Linked DNA regions of Cricetulus griseus. The protein of the gene in region 4 interacts with the protein of the main gene of each other region in a pairwise test. Links are inferred from orthologs where the notes say so. Each region holds a gene or a part of one and is shown on either strand. Other genes may lie near its edges.

The links. The genes of interacting proteins can lie anywhere in the genome.
Region 1: the proteins of Tmem79 (region 4) and Plp2 interact in binary tests that used the Homo sapiens proteins (3 or more experiments, as listed by UniProt). The two-hybrid records come from large-scale screens. The link is inferred for Cricetulus griseus from reciprocal best matches to the Homo sapiens genes TMEM79 and PLP2.
Region 2: the proteins of Tmem79 (region 4) and Sftpc interact in binary tests that used the Homo sapiens proteins (3 or more experiments, as listed by UniProt). The two-hybrid records come from large-scale screens. The link is inferred for Cricetulus griseus from reciprocal best matches to the Homo sapiens genes TMEM79 and SFTPC.
Region 3: the proteins of Tmem79 (region 4) and Rprm interact in binary tests that used the Homo sapiens proteins (3 or more experiments, as listed by UniProt). The two-hybrid records come from large-scale screens. The link is inferred for Cricetulus griseus from reciprocal best matches to the Homo sapiens genes TMEM79 and RPRM.

The regions. Positions count from the first base shown.
Region 1 is NC_048604.1:114,134,756-114,139,620, forward strand, and holds the start of Plp2 (proteolipid protein 2), read right to left. Parts: upstream 3,104-4,865; 5' UTR 2,979-3,103; coding exon 2,883-2,978; intron 1,727-2,882; coding exon 1,574-1,726; intron 1,466-1,573; coding exon 1,370-1,465; intron 898-1,369; coding exon 807-897; intron 356-806; coding exon 336-355; 3' UTR 1-335. UniProt on the Homo sapiens protein: May play a role in cell differentiation in the intestinal epithelium.
Region 2 is NW_023276807.1:225,165,219-225,170,162, reverse strand, and holds Sftpc (pulmonary surfactant-associated protein C), read left to right. Parts: upstream 1-1,841; coding exon 1,842-1,883; intron 1,884-2,875; coding exon 2,876-3,034; intron 3,035-3,354; coding exon 3,355-3,477; intron 3,478-3,707; coding exon 3,708-3,818; intron 3,819-4,126; coding exon 4,127-4,291; downstream 4,292-4,944. UniProt on the Homo sapiens protein: Pulmonary surfactant associated proteins promote alveolar stability by lowering the surface tension at the air-liquid interface in the peripheral air spaces.
Region 3 is NC_048599.1:120,434,101-120,438,216, reverse strand, and holds Rprm (protein reprimo), read right to left. Parts: upstream 2,278-4,116; 5' UTR 2,017-2,277; coding exon 1,687-2,016; 3' UTR 804-1,686; downstream 1-803. UniProt on the Homo sapiens protein: May be involved in the regulation of p53-dependent G2 arrest of the cell cycle. Seems to induce cell cycle arrest by inhibiting CDK1 activity and nuclear translocation of the CDC2 cyclin B1 complex.
Region 4 is NW_023276806.1:66,164,071-66,168,040, forward strand, and holds the end of Tmem79 (transmembrane protein 79), read left to right. Parts: intron 1-1,613; coding exon 1,614-1,827; 3' UTR 1,828-2,851; downstream 2,852-3,970. Other genes in the region: Glmp (glycosylated lysosomal membrane protein), read right to left, coding at 3,611-3,776, 3,889-3,970.

The DNA of each region.
Region 1 (4,865 bases), on a different chromosome or scaffold from region 4:
GGAAGACAAAACTCTCCCAACAAAGGCACTTTTATAGGAGGTGTAGCTGGGAGGAGACTGCTTGCCTAGTATGCAGATGGTTCTAGGTTCAATCTCCTGTACCATACATAAGCACTTTCAGTGGGGTCAGAGAATTGGCTGGGAGTGTTGTGGAAATAGAAAGAGGTATTTTTTTTGAAACAAGGTCTCACTGTGTAGCCCTGGCTGGCCTCACAGAGATCCACGTGTCTCTGCCTCCTGAGTGCTTGGATTAAAGGCATGCACCACCACACCAGGCAAGAGGAAGTTTTTGATGGAGGAGCTATTTGCAGGTAGCAGAGATAGATGAATGAGGATCAAGGGCCATCTGTGGGATCTGCAAGAGGAAAAAAGAAAGCACTGATAGATCCACGTGCCATTTTTACCAACAGGAATGCTGACACACTTATGATATTTACTGGCACAAAAGGCATAAGTATCAATACAGGTCAGATTTGGCATTCATACCCTTCCCTAAGAGGTTCTTTCCCCTTTTTCTTCTTTTTTCTCCTTTAAGTTTTTTGAGACAGGGTTTCACTATGTAGCTCTGGATATCCTGGAACTCACTATGTAAAACAGGCTGGCCTGGAACTCACAGAGATCTGCCTGGCTGTACTTCCTGAGTTCTGGGATTAAAGAAGTGCACCACCACACCTGGCCCTTTTTCTTTTTTTCTGCTCTCAGCATGCATGCACTCATGATCGCACACACACACACACACACACACACACACACACACACACACACACACACTGCCTCTCTCCCCCCTTTTTCCCCCCCTCTCTTACCAGTAGGGGCTGCTGTATGTCTTTGCTGCTTTAAAGGGAAGGTGAAGTAGGCATCACAGCCAAAGAGCAATGTAGCAAATATACCCAGTACCTGGGAAGACAGGAGTGAGGGAACTGGATTAGAGGGTGTACCTACTCAGCCTCTATGTCCTTGTATCCACCTCCAGGTACAAGGCCATGTAGGATAGTGAGTCCAGCCCTAAGCTAGGAAACCAGAGAAGATCAGGGAAAGGCCAGGAGTCTGAATATTTACTATCCCACCATCTCCCCAGTTACCTCTTTGCACCCCCATTGCTTTATATGTAGAAGGCATGCTTCATACTACATCTGAGGCAAAGTTCTAGCAGATAGTAGCCTAACATGTTGACAAAGGTCTCTCTGTCAGACAGCGGACAGTGTTTTACAGCAAATTATCTTGGTAGATAAAAATCATTTCTGGGGCCAAACTTTGCTGCAATTCCTGAGAGCAATTTTGGCCTGATGTGGCTCACACACTCATGAAGAAGCCCCTAGATCCTCACAACCTTCTTCCTGTGCTTTGGATATGCTTCTTGGGCCCTTACCCCAGCAGCGATTTTGAAACTGCCTTTTCCATCTACAAGGACAACAATGGAGGTTATCAGGTAGAGGATGGCTGCTATGAAGGCTCTGAAGAAGTCCTGTGAAGTGGATGGAGAAAAAAGGTCAGTTCAGCATCCACAGCTCTCCAGACCACTGCAACTTCCCAACCCCCTGTCCACCCTCAGCAATGCTGGTCCCTGTCTCACAGTCCATGGCCAGTTGATGAATGATATCTTGGAGTGCAGGTCACACATGTAGAAGACAAATAAGACAGCAGCAAAGATCATCTCGATCACCGACAGGGAGGAGTATGCTGATGTCGAAGCACTGAAGCAAATTAAAACCACCAGGCACAGTATCTGAGAGGGGGACAGGGGACCTCAATCAGCCATCAGCCGTGGCTTAAGAGCAAAGTTTGAAATTAGAAAAGATGGCCATCAGAAAAAAAAAAAGTGAAATCCACTTCCCAAGACTGGCGATATAGCTCTGAGGCAGAGCATTTGCCTAACACGTATGAGGCCCTAGGCTCTGCTCACTCAGCAGGGAGAGTTGGAAGTGGGGGAGGAAAGAAAAATTCCTTTTGGCGACGAACTACCAGAAGTGCCAAAATGACAAGCAATGATTGCTAAAGACCTCTCGCATGCTCACTGTTCTCCACGCATTGTCTAGGAGTTTTACATGTTTTATTTCACTTAATCATCACAAGAATCTAATGAGCTAGGTACTATTCTATTTTATACATTAGAAATTTGAGTCATAGAGAGGTTAAATGGCTTGCCCAGGGTCACCCAGTAAGAAAAGAGCAGAATTATGTGCTTCGGTTCCCCCTTTCCCTGAGGGGAGTGGCTCTGCCAGGTGTTTTGTGAGCGCTGGTGGCGCCAGCGTCCATGCCTTCAGGGGAGGGACGTGCGGTTCCCCAGGCAACCCCTTTGGGAAGGGGTGAGACTGACACTAGGAGGGCAGGGCTCCGTTAAAGGCGCCGCACCTCTTTTATAAGTGACCCAAAGGCAGTGACCACTTTGAGGGGGATGGAAAACCAAAGTTCCCTATAACCATCCAAAGAGCTAAGGACCTCCCATCCAGTCCCAAACTGGCAAGGGAGAACTGGCAAAGGGTGGAGTGCCCTACCCTAGGGGACTAGTTTTACCCCACCCCAACAGGCCCCGCCTTTGGGCGCGTTGCCAGCCCGCCAGCCAGTGCCCAGGCCGGCCACGCCCTGCCACGAGAGGCTCCCACTCTCCCCGGGACCCCTTCTTTGCATCCACTATGAGTCTATGCCCCCACGCCGAGCCCTCAACATAAGTTATAGACTCTTCGCCTCACCAGTGCACCACCAGCTCTCCACTACTTCGCCCATGTCCCAGGGAACCCCCTGCACCTTGGCTTCGATCCTCCTCCACGAACTCACCCACCTGCACCCCACTGCCAACCAGCCTGGCCACGTGCCTGCCTCAGCCCGAACAGTCCAGTACCGAGCGGTCCAGCCTGCCCACCCTCCAGCCACGGAACACTCACAATCTCAGCACACAGGAAAAGTCCCTTTTTGGTGCGTAAGAAGCCAGTGCAGGCTAACCAGCAGCCAGGGGCCGAGAGGCGCTCAGAGTCCGCCATGGTGTGTGCTGGAGTCACTGGGACGCAGAAGCTCTGTTTTCTGGCTCACGAGTTCGAGGTCGCTGCACACCCAGCCGTTCGTCCCGCCGTCTGGTCGGGAAGGGGGCCCCCGGGCAAAGGAGGGAATGAATCACCGCGCCTAGCTGAAGCGGGCGGGGCCGGAGGGGGCCGGGCCAGGTGGCTGCCGCCCCGGAAGCCCCCTTTGCCCTCCGGCCAAAGACAGTGCGAATCCTGCACAAGCCCTCATCTTCTAGGTGTCTGGCAGCTCCAGGTACCAAGTGCAAGACTATAGAGACCTTTAACTTCTCAAAAATTGCAAAAGCGCTACTTCCACTCCGAACCGAGCGATTCTGACTTCCTACATTTGATCTTAGCCAAAAGACCAAGAAGCAATAGAGTGCCTCAGTTTCCTTAGCTGAAAAAAATGGCCGAGGCCCGGCTTAAACCCGAAATTTTTGAGGTCAGGTATGTTTCCTGAATTCTTAGCTTTGAATTTTAGAAGGTTTTCCGTTTTTGCTTATATAGTAATGGTTCTCAAACTGTGGGTCTAAAGACCCTTTCACAGGGGTCACCTAAGACCATCAGAAAACGCACATATTTACATTTTGATTTATAACCATAGCCAAATACAGTTAGGAAATAGCAACAAAAATAATTTTACAGTTGGGGGAGCAGCATAACGTGAGGAACTGTATTAAAGGGTTGCAGCAAGCATTAGGAAGGTTGAGAACCACTGATAGATAGTACAGTATATTACCTAACACTCTGGGCAGGACCTGGGGGTATTAAAACTTAATTATCTCAAGAAATGGTGTAAATGTTCACAATAAGTGAGATGAAGGGAGATTGAAAATTGTTCCTGATTAAGTTAGGTCAGGTTCTGTAGTCAAATGATACGAAACTGGTGTGAGGGGGATGCAGCCAGTTTCCAGAATTTGGGAGGCTTTGCTTATAGGAGATAGTGCTGCAAAGACTTCGTGAGAACAGGACCTGGTGGTCACCTGGTAAAGAGTACTGATTAGTGGTCACCTGGTAAAGAGTACTGATTATTAATCATCTACTTAGAGTCTAGGGAGCCAGTGGTTTACCGTGCTGTCCAGTTGCAGAGAAGTCTTCAGCCTGCGGGCTAGACCTCAGCTTTCTGATTCTAAGAAGATAGGCCAAGCCAGCTTTAGATGAAGAATGGAAAAAGCAAACATTTTTTGCTGACAGGTGGACATGGTAAGGGGATGGTTCTTGGAGTACAATTTGGGGTAAGAAAGTTGACATTTTGCACTGTGTATGTGAGCAAATAATTTCTCCAGGCCATCTTAGTATCTAACTCTGATACTAAGGACATCCCCCCCCCACACACACACACACACTCCACAATGTGTTCTGGACATTGGTTTTATATTCATCTCAAGTGTAAAGAAATTATTTGAAAGGCTGAATTCAACCTAAGGGCCTACCTGCCCCCACCCCAAACATAGGGCCGTTCCAAATGAAGGGGCACCCTTTTACAATTGCCATTGTTTAAGAAGTTAATTAATGGAAAGGTTGAAACGTTTTTGTGAGTGTTGAGTGCATGCATTCAAGCAGTGATAAATACCTGAACTTGTAGAACATGACAAATTTAGCTGCGTCTGGCCTTTGAACTTACCGTTCCCATTACTATAGATGCCCTTCCCCCAGCTTTTCATTATTTGGCTTCTGGTTTTTCAGTTCCACTTCAAATGTTGTCTTCAATAGAGGCCTGCAGCCCACCACCATCTCCCACAATAGAACCCCTCCTTTTCTTTGTCTTTCATTTTCTTTGTTGTTTGAAACAGTCTCTCTGTAGAGCCCAAGATGGCTTAGAGTTTGTGATCCTCTTGTCCCACTCAGTGCCCACATGAAGGAATTACA
Region 2 (4,944 bases), on a different chromosome or scaffold from region 4:
GTCTGCAAGTAGAGAGCTGTTGGCTACTCAAAGGCAGTTTTTAAAGAGTATGTGAGAATATGCATATGTATGTAACTTCTTCTTCTTCTTCTTCTTCTTCTTCTTCTTCTTCTTCTTCTTCTTCTTCTTGTTTTTTTTTTTTTTCTGCTTTTTTGAGACAGGATTTCTTTGTGTAGCTTTGTAGACCAGGTTGACTCAAACTCACAGAGATCCTTCTGCCTCCCAAATGCTGGGATTAAAGTGTGCGCCTCCACTGCCTGGTTGTTGTATGTAACTTCTATAGTCTAATTTGTATAAGGGACTTGCATGCCTGTGGATTTGGCGTGTCCATGAGGAGTCCTAAAAACAATCTGGAGATATTAAGGGGCAGCTTTGTAGGAGAACAAGGGTGCCAGGTCAATACAAGGAAGTACTAGGCTCCAGCTTACACATTCATAAAAGTTGAGAGGTGCAAAGATGTTTCAAGTCCACCTGGCCAGCAACTGAAAGGGAACCGGATGGGCTAGAGAGAAGGTTCAGTGGTTACAAGCATTGGCTACTCTTTCACAGCATCCAAGTTTGATACCTAGTACCCACATGGAAGCTCACAACTCTCTGTGACTCCAGCCCCTGTGGGTCCCATGTCCTTTTCTGGCCTCCAAGAGTACCAGGCATGCAGGTGGTGCACAGGCAAAACACCCATACCCATAAAATAAAAATAAATAAATCTTTAAAAGGGAATTGAAGGCATGTAGCCAAGGCCAAGTTGAAAGGGTGCAACCAATCCGAAGTCACTGGTAGATGTGACTGACTTAGTACCCCAAGCAACAGGAGAGAATTTGGGGAAAGAGAGAAGGGAGGGAGAGAGGAGAAGGAGGAAGTCATGAAAGTGAATGGGATTTGGTTAAATCACATTGGGCAAATTTAGACGATATAAACAGGAGGTCAGAAGGGTAGATAGAATGGTCGAAGGGCAGAGGTGGCTGATTGGGACCACACTCAGCCCTGTGCAAGGTCATCTTGGCTTGAGAAAATGTCTGGGGATGTAGCTCAGTGGAAAACGGCTTCCCAAGCATGCTCATGACCTTAAGTTTGATCCTCAGCACTGGAAGGCAAAAACTAAGGCCTGGAATAGTCGTCAGAGCATTCAACTTACAGACAGGCCCGGGGCAAGGAGTGAAACAGGACTTATCCCCCAGTAAGAGGTTTGCAGCTGTGAGGAAAGGGTTTCCAGAGTAAGAAAAATGACTGGAGCAAATCCGAGGTTAGAGACAGCAGGTGTGGGAAGCAGGATAAAGAGGAACCGACCCTGTCTCAGAAACCACACTAATGGATCCCCAGTTTTGTTCCAAGCCCTGTTCCTCCAGTAGACACCTCTCCACCCCCATCAATAATCACCACTTTCTTAGTCCCTGATGGAACTCATGTCTGAGCCTGGGGGAGGTTATCTGGTAGAAAGGGATGGCCAGATTCTTGGCTACCACAGGAAAGGTTTGGCCTGTCAAACGAAGAGAAGCCACAGGGCTGCAGGGGCAGGTGCCAGCAAGAGAGGCAGACATGCCAGAAAGACACCCACGGTGAGAGGAGCAGGTGGCCTGAGGGTGAGTTTGCTCACCTCACCCAGGTTTGCTCTTGTTGGGGCCAAGAGGATTCATGTGCCTAGGCCAAGAGCCCTTGGGGGCTCTTGCAGCTGGCTTATCAGGGCCTAGGCTGTGAAAAACCTGGAATAAACAAGCTTCAAAGCCAAGGACTTGGCTGGCAGACAGAAGACCTGGTCCTTCACCTCTGTCCCCTCTCTCTCTGATGATATATATAGGACACTGGCCACACTAGAGAGATGAGAAGAGAAGAAAGCCTACAAAATGGATGTGGGTAGCAAAGAGGTCTTGATGGAGAGTCCACCGGTGAGTGTGGTTTTGTGTGTGTGTGTGTGTGTGTGTGTGTGTGTGTGTGTGTGTGTGTGTGTGTATTTACATAAGTGTACTGGACTTGCCTGCTCCATTCTCCATAGGATTTTTTTCTTCAATTAGTTTAGGATTAGGCTGTTAGGATGGAGACACCATGATCATTAAGAGTCCCTGGAAGAGGCAGGCATGGCAGCCATGAATTTCTGTATAAAGGGGTTGAGAACCACCGTAGGGGTCAATAGAAAGGCCTGTGAAAAACACTGCTAGAGTCACCAAGTAATTAGGAGGTCACAGAGAAAATGGCATGTGAGGCTGGGATGGAGTTCAGTGGGAAGAGTGCACTGCAATCAAAGGCCCTTGGGTTCAGTCCCCAGGACCCCATAAGTCAGGCATGGGGTCCACACCATTTGGAAGTGTAAGCAAGACAATCATTCAGGGTTATCTTTAGATATGTAAGGAGGTGGAAGGCAGCCTGGGTCTCAAAAAAAAAAAAAAAAAAAAAAAAAAAAAAAAAAAAAAAAAGGAGAAGGATGGCTCCTCAGATAGGCGTGAAGATGACACATGAAATTGCCTAGGAAGAATATGCAGGCACCCACAAGGCAAAGGAGGAAGGCATACAAGGAAGAAAGGGACTCTACATAAAGATATGGAGATGGTGCTACCTGGATCCTTGGGGAGGGGGAAGGGCACAAAAATGCTGGCTATGTCTGAGGTGCCAAGAGTCTTGGGAAAACAGAACATACGATTACTAACTGGCTCTCTTGGATCCTTCCAAACCTAGATTTTGCCTCTAACTTCCTAAGTTTCTGTGGGTTTGTTTGAATCCGACCACCTTCCCAAAAGCCTCTGGTCTCCCCAGCGCTCCTCTGCATATTCATAGCCTAACGGGGTATGAGCGTGCATCTGGTTGGTTCAGGGAGAGGAATGGGCATCCTCTCAACTGCCTGCTTGTCTCTCTGCTCCCCCCCCCCCCCCCCCCGCTTCTTCAGGACTACTCAGCAGGTCCCAGGAGCCAGTTCCGCATCCCCTGCTGCCCCGTGCATCTCAAACGCCTTCTCATCGTGGTTGTGGTGGTGGTCCTTGTTGTCGTGGTGATTGTAGGGGCCCTGCTCATGGGCCTTCACATGAGTCAAAAACATACTGAGATGGTGAGCAGGCCTGGGTTGAGCAAAGAGTAGCAGCGATGAATGTCAGACAGAGGAAGTTTGCTGGGGTGGGCAAACAAGAGCGTATCTTGAGTGATACAAGCAGAGATGGGGTAGCAGACCAGCATAGATGGTTTTTCCCCAGGCCCTGGCCTACAGTGTGATAACCACCAGTCCCTCCAACACCAGTGATCTTTAGCCTTCCTGAGATCTCAGGAAAGAGGGAATTGCGTTCCAACAGAGGGCTCTGGGTAGATATGGGTACCAAAGGGCTGAGAAAAGAAAGAGGAATGCCAGGCAGCACTCTGACAGCCTCTCCCTAGGTCCTTGAAATGAGCATCGGAGCACCGGAAACTCAGAAACGCCTAGCCCTGAGTGAGCACATGGACACCATTGCTACCTTCTCCGTTGGTTCCACTGGCATTGTTGTGTATGACTACCAGCGAGTGAGTATGCCTGAGGGACCAATATGACTTTACTGGAACTGTCTAGTTGTACCACCTCTTTCCAGAGGTCTCTCTCCATTCTGTGCCTGGCTGCTTCCCCTCGGATGCTGGAGTCTCGGACTCAGATGTGTCTCCCATGGCCAATCTAAAGGGAGTTGGCTGAGAATCAGGGTTGGGGAGTGAGCAAGGCAAGGGACCTTCCTGAATGACCTCCCGTGTTACATGCCTAGCTCCTGACTGCCTATAAGCCAGCCCCGGGTACCTACTGCTACATCATGAAGATGGATCCAGGGAGCATCCCCAGTCTTGAGGCTTTTACTAGAAAATTCCAGAACTTCAAGGTGGGTGTGTGAGTAAAGGGAGTGAGCTGTCTCCCTCCAAGGGTTGGGGAGAGGAATATTTGAAATGATGGCTAGTGCCATCTGCATGGTATTGATTCTCCTGGGCCAGATGTGTTCTCTCTGCACTCACCTGTGTTACACCTATCCCAGCTGTCAGCTGGCCTGCTGCTAAGTTGTTGGCTTGGCTGAGCTCAGACACCACCTGTGTGCTTCTGATTTCAGCCTAGTCCCTCTGTATCGGTGAGGAAACTGAGCCTCGAGAATTTGCCTGGCTAGCCTAGTGTCCCACAATAAGGACTGCAGGTGAGATTGAACATATGTGTTCTTTCCAGGCCAAGCCCTCGGCGTCCACCCCTAAGCTGGGTCAGGAGGAAGGGCATGGCATTGGTTCTGAGTCTTCCGGGAGAGACCTGGCATTCCTAGGCCTTGCTGTGAGCACCTTGTGTGGAGAGCTACCACTGTACTATATCTAGGACCCCCTCAGGTGAGCAAGGGTACCTTTGATGGTGCCTGCACAACGTTGGGAAGGCTTGGGCTTCGGGCTTTGTCAGCAAACCTACTAGGGTTCTCCTGAAGTCAGTGGTCTGGGGACGGCAGAGGATGGCAGGCTCACAGACAGCCCACATTGGAATCAAGCGAGTGGCTCCCTAGGTTCCCCCCCCCCCCGCCCTTCACGTGATAAACATCAGTTCTTTGCTTCACAGGGTCGGTGGTAACCGCATGGGGACAGGAAAGACCCGCACGCAGAGAAGGGTCTCTTGCAGACAAGCAGGAAGCTGCTCCTGTTCTTGCTCGACCCGACAGAGTAGAAGCCAGTAGAGGAGAGGGGTCTCCTACAGGCCAGGGGGTCTCCTACCACAAAGCAATAAAGCAGCCTGATTGAAAAACAAAGGGTGGCATGTCTTTTCTTCCACATTTTCAGTTTCGCTCCTGGCGGGAGCCGTCCTTGGAAGGAGAGGGTTTGGGGGAGTTGGGACGCTTTGCCACATCCTTTCTGTCTAAGAGTGATGGGGATTTGGTTCTACCCCAGGTAGTGGGGAAGGGGGCAAAAGGCGGGGATAGGGGACGGGACCTAGGTGCCATACACGGGTGTTAGGCGCCCTCCAGCGGTGTGTCCACAGGGAAG
Region 3 (4,116 bases), on a different chromosome or scaffold from region 4:
CCAGGCTTTCCAGTGTGGGTTGTAGTAGTCTTGAGTATCAGGACTAGGCTATCTCCTTTGAGCTGCCTGACTAAAGAGGAAGGCAAATGTTCATCTCTCTCTCTCTCTCTCTCTCCCTCTCTCTCTCTCTCTCTCTCTCTGTGCTCTTTCTGTACTATTTTTAATCAATTGATGGATGGATTACTTATATTTACGGGGTATAATGTGGGATTAACTCATCACCTTAAACACTCGTCATTTCGTCATTGGTCTCTTATATCTGATTCCTTTCTCTAGAAAACGTTTTACGACAAAGACAACGAATACCTCCTGACTTGGACACAAGGGTTTCTCTGCTCAGTATTTCGAACTTCCTCAGCTACTTTTCTTCAGAACCTGCACTTTTCTTTTTCTGGAGCAGCATCCCTATGCTGTCCTGCTGACGTGGGTCAGGGGAAAGACGCCCTCCCTAAAGGCTAGCTTGGCCGGCTTCTTCTTTCATTAGCGGGGTAGCCTAAGTTCTCCAAGGAGCCTGGTACGGAAGTGTAATCTTCCCGCGGGGACCTCCCTGACATCCGAGACAAAGTGAAATTTGAAGTCGTAAATATGGGAGAAAACAAAGGCCGCTGTTTTCGAGATGGCTTTTGTGCCTGAGGCTTGGTGTGTGCACTCTGTCGGGCCCCTCCTTCCCTCCCTCCGGGGATATAAGGCTCTACGAAGTAGAATCGCAGCTCCGGCAAGGCGAAACCTCCTGGCCAGGACCCAGACTGCACAGCCGACCTTCCTGTCCGCCAGGAGAATAGAATGACTACCAGGAGGCCAGAAACAAAACACTTAAATGTTTCATTTATTAAGGAAATGTTAAATAAGAAAAAAAAAGTCAAACGTTGTCACGGATATCAAGAGCACTTTTGTGGAGTAAACCGTGCATACACGAGCTACAAATTCTACTCTGGATCTTTGTCCCGGGCTTAGCTGGAGCGCCAGCCTCCCAAAGAGACCCAGCTGGAAATGCACTAAAAGAAAGCACTTAACCCCATTCACAGTCTCAGGCTACCCTCCCCCCACCCCTTCTCCCAAGATGACAAAAACTCTAACCCGCAGGCAGGCAAACAGGCCACTAGGGCTTAAAAGACTTATCAAATATTTGTATTCAAGCAAACTAACACAGATCTCTATAAACCACAGGTTACTATTGATCAAAGTTCCACTCTCCCCGCAGGTCGCAAAACCCACACACATCTATGTTCCCATTAGGTCTGCAGTGTGCTGTAGAAACAGGTCAATTTCGTGTCACCCGGCTACTAGTGCCTCTGGATATCCTCCCCACCCCAACTCCCGCCTTTCTCGGCCTCTCCAGATGTCCCCAATGCTGGGCCCACCTGCAGGTGGAAAGGGGCCTTCGCCTGGTCCATCTCCCCGCGTCTCAGGCAAGCAACGGCTCCCAAAGTTCTGCGCCTTAATCACCCTCTTTTGCCACCTGCTGCTGAGTCCCAAAGTCTGGATGCTCCGTCTGAAGGCTTGCTTGGGGCCTTTAGGAGAGCGATCAGAAATGGGTCACTTTTTCCCCAAAGGCAGGAGGCGAGAGAAAAAAATTCTGACTCCGACAGGTTTGCTTTACTCGGTCTCTGATGGTGAGAGGTGCATCACGGCTGGTGGAGTACTGGAGAGGCCAGGAGCACCAGCCGTGGGGGACCAGAGGGCCTCTCAGTAGGGTCCCACGACCACTGCCTCAACCTCTTTAGACGGCCTCCGGTCCTTCACCAGGAAGTTGATCATGCCTTCGGATTTGATGAGCAGGTTGCAGCCAAGGAAGAAGATGCCGAAGACCACGGTGAGCGAAAGCACGCACATAACTGCGATCTGCACCACGCGCATGATATACAGGCTACGCTCGTCGGGGCCACCCTCGGCGAAGCCATCGTCGGTCACCACCGACGCCTGGGTGCAGCAGCGCACGGCGCGCTCCAGAGCCTCGCTGCTGTTGGCCAGGAAGAGACCGGCCACGTCGGTCTGGTTGCCCAGCACTGAATTCATCACGGGAGCAAGCGGGAGCCAGGAAGGCGAGGATCGGAGGGGTGGGGACCGGGAGGCGGTGGCGCCGGAGAAACAGGTGCTGGAAGGAGCGCTGGCTGGCACACTTGTGCGTACGGGGCTCCTCAGCCTCCCTTTCAAAGTCCCTGGGCCGTGAGAGTCTCAGGAACCTCTCCTGGGCGCGCTGCAAGCTGGCTCGTGTGCGCCTTGTGCTGCCCGGGCTTTGCTCGTTCCCGGCAGTGCTCGCTCGACTGGGAGCTCTTGGAACTTGGCGGGTTGGGCCGGAGGGGCCGTGGGAGGCGCGGGCCGCGGCGGTGGCCCGGCGGCTGCTCCAAGCGCACAGCGGCCCCTGCTGGTGGCAGAGCCGCGCTGCGCCCCCCTCGGCCAGGAAGTGGAGGCAAAGAAAAGAGCCGTCCTAGCTGGGTTTGTAGTATCTTCATTTCCTAAGGCCAGGAAGAGGTCACTAAACACTCTTGATGTGATGAACAAGAAAAGGATTTGGGGAGAAAGGCTGAAAGTGGCAGAGAACCTGGGTCACACACGCTCTTGAGAGTGTCCTTCAATGCTGCCCCTCTCACCTTTGATTTGACTTAAAGTGGCCAGGTACCAGATGGCCCTGGCCAAAGCACTGACCCACTGCTTATTCCTGTCTACCTGCTTGTCCGGGAACAAGGGGGGCGGGGCAGGATCTGGGAAGTTATTTCTTTCTCACTTCTTTTTGGAGGTGTGGTGGTGGTATTATTGTTTTAAGGAAGGAAGAACTGATGAAAGCGTCAGAAAGAGTAAAAGAGTTATTACATGCCAACGTAGTGAAGCGGGGTTTGCAGTGAGCTGCAAGGCCAAGGCAAGGGGCAGGACGATGAAGGAGGTGTTCATCTGTGGCTCGTGGGTGAAAGTGCTAGCCAAGAACAGGGTTAACTCTCTGGTAAGGGAGGTGGACAGAGCCATCACTTCACTGCAACTTTAATTGCAGAGGAGTTTTTGGATGAGCTTTCAGCGTTTTTGTCCTTGGCAAAAAATCAGTTGTTTAAGGGAATTGCTTGTCCACATCCACCACCTAGACTGCTAGCCAACAGCTGGAAGCCTCCCACCAGAAGCTGATGCACACCCCCAGCCTTCCTTACTCACTGCAGAGCAAACTGCCGGCTTTTCAGGGAGCTATGGAGGCTCAGTCCTTCGTGACTGCTGTTGGTTCTAAGTTCCAGGGGAGTCTTACAAACTGGCCAGTTCGTATTTTAGGTTCCAGAAGATGCCCAGTTTTCGGCCCCCCTTCCCCTTCTCTCCTTTCCCAGTTCTCTGCTTTCTTTGACCCCTCTCTTTCTATTATAATGACTGGAAACGAGACATTGATGTTCAGTCCAAACTTTTGAAAGAATACTCTTAACTAGTTTCTACTGAGATAGTGGAGTTGCTTTGCTATTCTCTGCTCTATTGGGGATGGGGGTAGGGGTGGGGGTCGGGGGAGGCTCTATAACTAGCTCAGACTGTCCTTGAAGCAGTCATTCCAGGCCTTTTATTTCTGAGTTTGGCATCGATAGACATGCACAGAGATTTTTGATTACACCGTATTTGCTGACTTAATCCCCCCTCTAAGAGTCATCCATTTCATGTTCAGGTCTCTTTAATGTCTTAGCACCATTTCCCTATGCCTCATCTCAAGCCACAGGACTGACTTTTAGACAAGATTTTTTTTTTTTTTAATTTTCTGGAAGCTTCAGTAAGTTCTAGATACCTAGATGCTTTTGTAATGGAGAATAGGCAGGTGTGAACCGCAGAGAACCAGGACTCAGCCATATTTCCTTGGCTTAGTTGCTCTAGTTTTCATGATTCAGTCGACCTTGAAGAATGTTTAACCTTCAAAAATATCTCTTTTTTGGGTCAAATTTATTATTAATGGATCATATAGAATTCTTTACATTTTGTTATCCAGGTAATGGATGGAATAACAGTGTCTGGATTGATGGTTCAGCAGTTAAGAACATTTGCTACTCTTCCAAAGGACCCAGTTCAGTCCCCAGGCCATGTCAAAAGCCTCACAACTGCCTGCAATCCTAACTCCAGAGGGATCTCATGCCTCTGGCCTCCACAGGCACCTTCATTCAC
Region 4 (3,970 bases):
TTTAACTCAACAACAAAGCAACAGTGAGCAGACAAAACAGTTGACAGTGAGGGGAGACACTGGACTGGGAGTTAGCTCGGTTGTAGACTATGTGCCTAGCATGCAGAAGGCTCTGGTGGAGTGTGCCTGTAGTCCCTTCATTTGCGAGGGTGAAGGAAGGACTGGGGGCTGGGGATATAGTTCAGTGGCAGATCACTTGCCTAGCTTTGTGAGGCCCTGGACCACAAACAAGATTTTGTTAGTATCTACAAAACAGAAATGAATCAAGAAACTGTAGAACTGGATACCTAGGGTGGGAGTTGGGGAGATTAGGATGGGAATCAGAAAAGGGGAAGACATTTTTTTTTTTTTTTTCCCCCGAGACAGGGCTTCTCTGTGTAGCTTTGGAGCCTATCCTGGCACTCGCTCTGGAGACCAGGCTGACCTTGAACTCACAGAGATCTGCCTGCCTCTGCCTCCCGAGGGCTGGGATTAAAGGTGTGAGCCACCAACGCCCAGCCAGGGAAGACAATTTTTGTTGTTTGTTTGTTTGTTTGTGATAGGGTTTCTCTGTGTAGCCCTGGCCATCCTAGAACCAGCTTTGTAGACCAGCCTGGCCTCAAAACCAGAGATTTGCTTGCCTTTGCTCCTGAGTTCTGGGATTAAAGATATGTGGCAATACCACCCAACAGGGGAAGAAAACATTAAAGTTGAATTGTCATTTAATTCTGGATCACATAAATGAACATTTAATTGTAACTTAATTAAGAAAGAAATTAGTTGGCCAGGAGCTGGAGAGATGGCTCAGAGGTTAAGAGCACCGGCTGCTCTTCAAAGGACCTGAGTTCAATTCCCAGCAACCACATGGTGGCTCACAAACATCTGTAATGGGATCCGGTGCCCTCTTCTGGCCTGCACTGTATACACAATAAATAAATGAATATTAAAGAGAGAGAGAGAGAGAGGAAGAGGATAAGGAGGAGGAGGAGGAAGAAGAAGAAAGAAAGGCAGGCAGATTTCTGAGTTTGAGGCCAGTCGGTCTACAGAGTGAGTTCCAGGACAGCCAGAACTAATACACAGAGAAACCCTATTTCGAAAACAAAACAACAAAATGAAATTAGTTTTGCCTACTTTTTTGTTTGTTTGTTTTTCGAGACAGGGTTTCTCTGTGGCTTTGGAGGCTGTCCTGGAACTACCAGGCTGGTCTCCATCTCACAGATACCCGCCTGCCTCTGCCTCCTGAGTGCTGGGATTAAAGGCATGTGCCACCAACGCCCGGCTTAAATCTTTATTTTATTTGAATTGGTGCTTTGACTATGTGTGACGCACCACCTGGAACTGGAATTACAGACAGTTGTGAGCTGCCATGTGGGTGCTGGGAATTGAACTTGGGTCCTCTGGAAAAGCAGTCAGTGCTTTTAACCACTGAGCCATCTCTCACAGCCCCCCCCCCCTTTAATTTTAAATAGTAAATAAAAGAGAAGACGGGAATAATATTCTCACTTCAAAGATGTGGGAAAGTAAACATTGGGAGCATATGTATTAACTGGGCGTTTGTAGTACCAGCATGGCGCCTGCTCCTGACCGATTGGCTGGGTCCTGGAGAGAAGATAACCCTTGTCATGCTCCCACAGGCTGATTTACTGGTTGACCTTTGCTGTGGGCCGCTCCTTCCGAGGCTTTGGCTATGGGCTGACTTTCCTGCCGCTGTTGGCCATGCTGATGTGGAACCTCTACTACATGTTCGTGGTGGAGCCCGAGCGCATGCTCACTGCCTCTGAGAGTCGCTTGGATTACCCGGACCACATGCGATCTATCTCCGACTACAGGCCGCGCTCATGGGGCTGAGCTGCCCTGGGGCTGTGCAGGGGAATTTCAGTGCTTCCCTGAAACAATTGCAGGCCTGGCCTTTGCCCAGGTCGTGGACCTTCAATGTGAGGAATCTTGCTACTGCCCTTTGGGGCCCCATCCAGCGGGGCCCAGATACCCCAGTTCTCTCCTAGCTTTTGTTTTACTCCTGGAGTGTGAGAGCCTGAGACTGGATTAACACTCTTCCTTCTTGGCCTCTCACTATGCCACACTAAGGCTAAGGCTGGATGGCTACCTCACTACCCAGCTTCCTGTGGGCCAGGGGTGCAGAGCTGCAGCCCAACCTCAACTGTCTTTGCCAGCTGTATAGATGAAAGTCAAGGAGATGGGCTTAAGCCCAAGGGTAGAGCTTGGAATCACATCAGATAAGGACATCTTTGACACTAGATGGAAACCTCCCTAGGAGGCCTGGATTAAAGACCCTCTCTATCCCTGGCTTCAAGACTTTTTTTTGCCTCAGTCAAGACTATTGCAGCTGTTGCCGTCCCTCTCTCAACCTACATGGGTCCCTGTAACCTTCCACTTTTCAGACTTCCAAGAAATCTCACTGTAAAAGTGGGGGGCTGGGAAGCCGGGCGTTGGTGGTGCACACGCCTTTAATCCCAGCACTAGGGAGGCAGAGTCAGGCGGATCTCTGTGAGTTCGAGGCCAGCCTGGTCTCCAGAGGGAGTGCCAGGATAGGCTCCAAAGCTACACAGAGAAACCCTGTCTCGAAAAACAAAACAAAACAAAAGTGGGGGGCTGGGGCAGAGGGATGAAACCTCCAAAAGAACTGTAAATAGTCACATGTAGTGGCTGGATGGCAGAGTGACTGCTTGCTCAGTATATATGTGTGAGTATGTAATAAATCACTGCCCGCCTCCCATGACTCTTTCTTCCTGCCCCTCCCCCCACCTCAAGTCAACTCCTAAGCATCAAGAGGATGGCTGACAAGAGCCTTGGGGGAGACCACTGGGATTGGTGAGAAAATGTGCCTTCAAATAGAAATTGCCTTTCAAGCCTATCTCTGTCTTCTTATTTGCTGAAAGCAGTCGGACATGGTGGTACACGCCTTTAATCCCGACGACATTCGGGAGACACAGACAGGGAATCTCTGAGTTTGAGGCTAGCCTACAGAGTCAGTTCCAGGACAGCCAGGACTGCACTGAGAAACCCTATCTCAGAGAGGTGGGGGCAGGGGAGGGAGGGAGAGAGAGATTGGAATCTGGACTAGAGAGATGGATGGCTTAGTGGTTAAGAGCACTTGCTCTTGCAAAGAACCCTGGTTTAATTCCCTTTACCCATATGGTGGTTTACAACCATCCATAATTCCAGTTTCAGGGGCTCTAGTGCCCTCTTCTGACTTCCACAGGCAACACACACACACACACACATCCATACAAGCAAGCAAAACACAATATAATAAAATACATATATCTCATTTAAAAATAAGAGAGAAATTAGAATATTTTATGGGAAAAATATCTATTTCATGCCCCTTAGGGCAGCCAACCAGTCGTTCTTATTGTAGGCCTTCAAGTTTTATCCAAGGGAATCCGGAGTGGCAAATGACAGAGAAGGAAGCATCAGTGGTGCACCTTCCTTTGTAATCCTAGCCTCTCCCTAAGGTAGGAAGGACATCGCCCAGGGAGCCCCCAGTAAGTTGAGGCTGGCTTCTGAGGTTCTGCAGAAAAGCAGATCACAACACTGACCCTCTACTCTTCAACACTTTGAGGCACAGCAAGGCAGATGTGGTCCTGCCCTTTCCTCTGGAGAGTGGGTTTCAGTTTATAGACTGGTACTCAGAATACTGCTTGTGGCGAAGCAGCAGAAACAGGCCTCCTCCCAGCAACATGAGCCCCGGAGTTCCCAGGGCCACTGCCATGATTCCGAGCACTAGTGGAGACAAGGCATCCACTGGAGGGAAGCCCATTCCCAGAAGCATTGACCTAAAGCAAGAAGGTTAAAAAAAAAAAAAAAAAAAGGTTAGCAAGCTTAGGAAGGAAGGCTGAGGGGCTCAGCTCTTCTCCACTTTGACCTCTCCAAATCCTTGGTTCTTACCAGGAGAGGTAGTGTTGGTCCCAGTAGCCAGGGCCTGTGGGAGCCCCAAATGTCAGATTGAAGGCACAGAGGTTCTGGGACC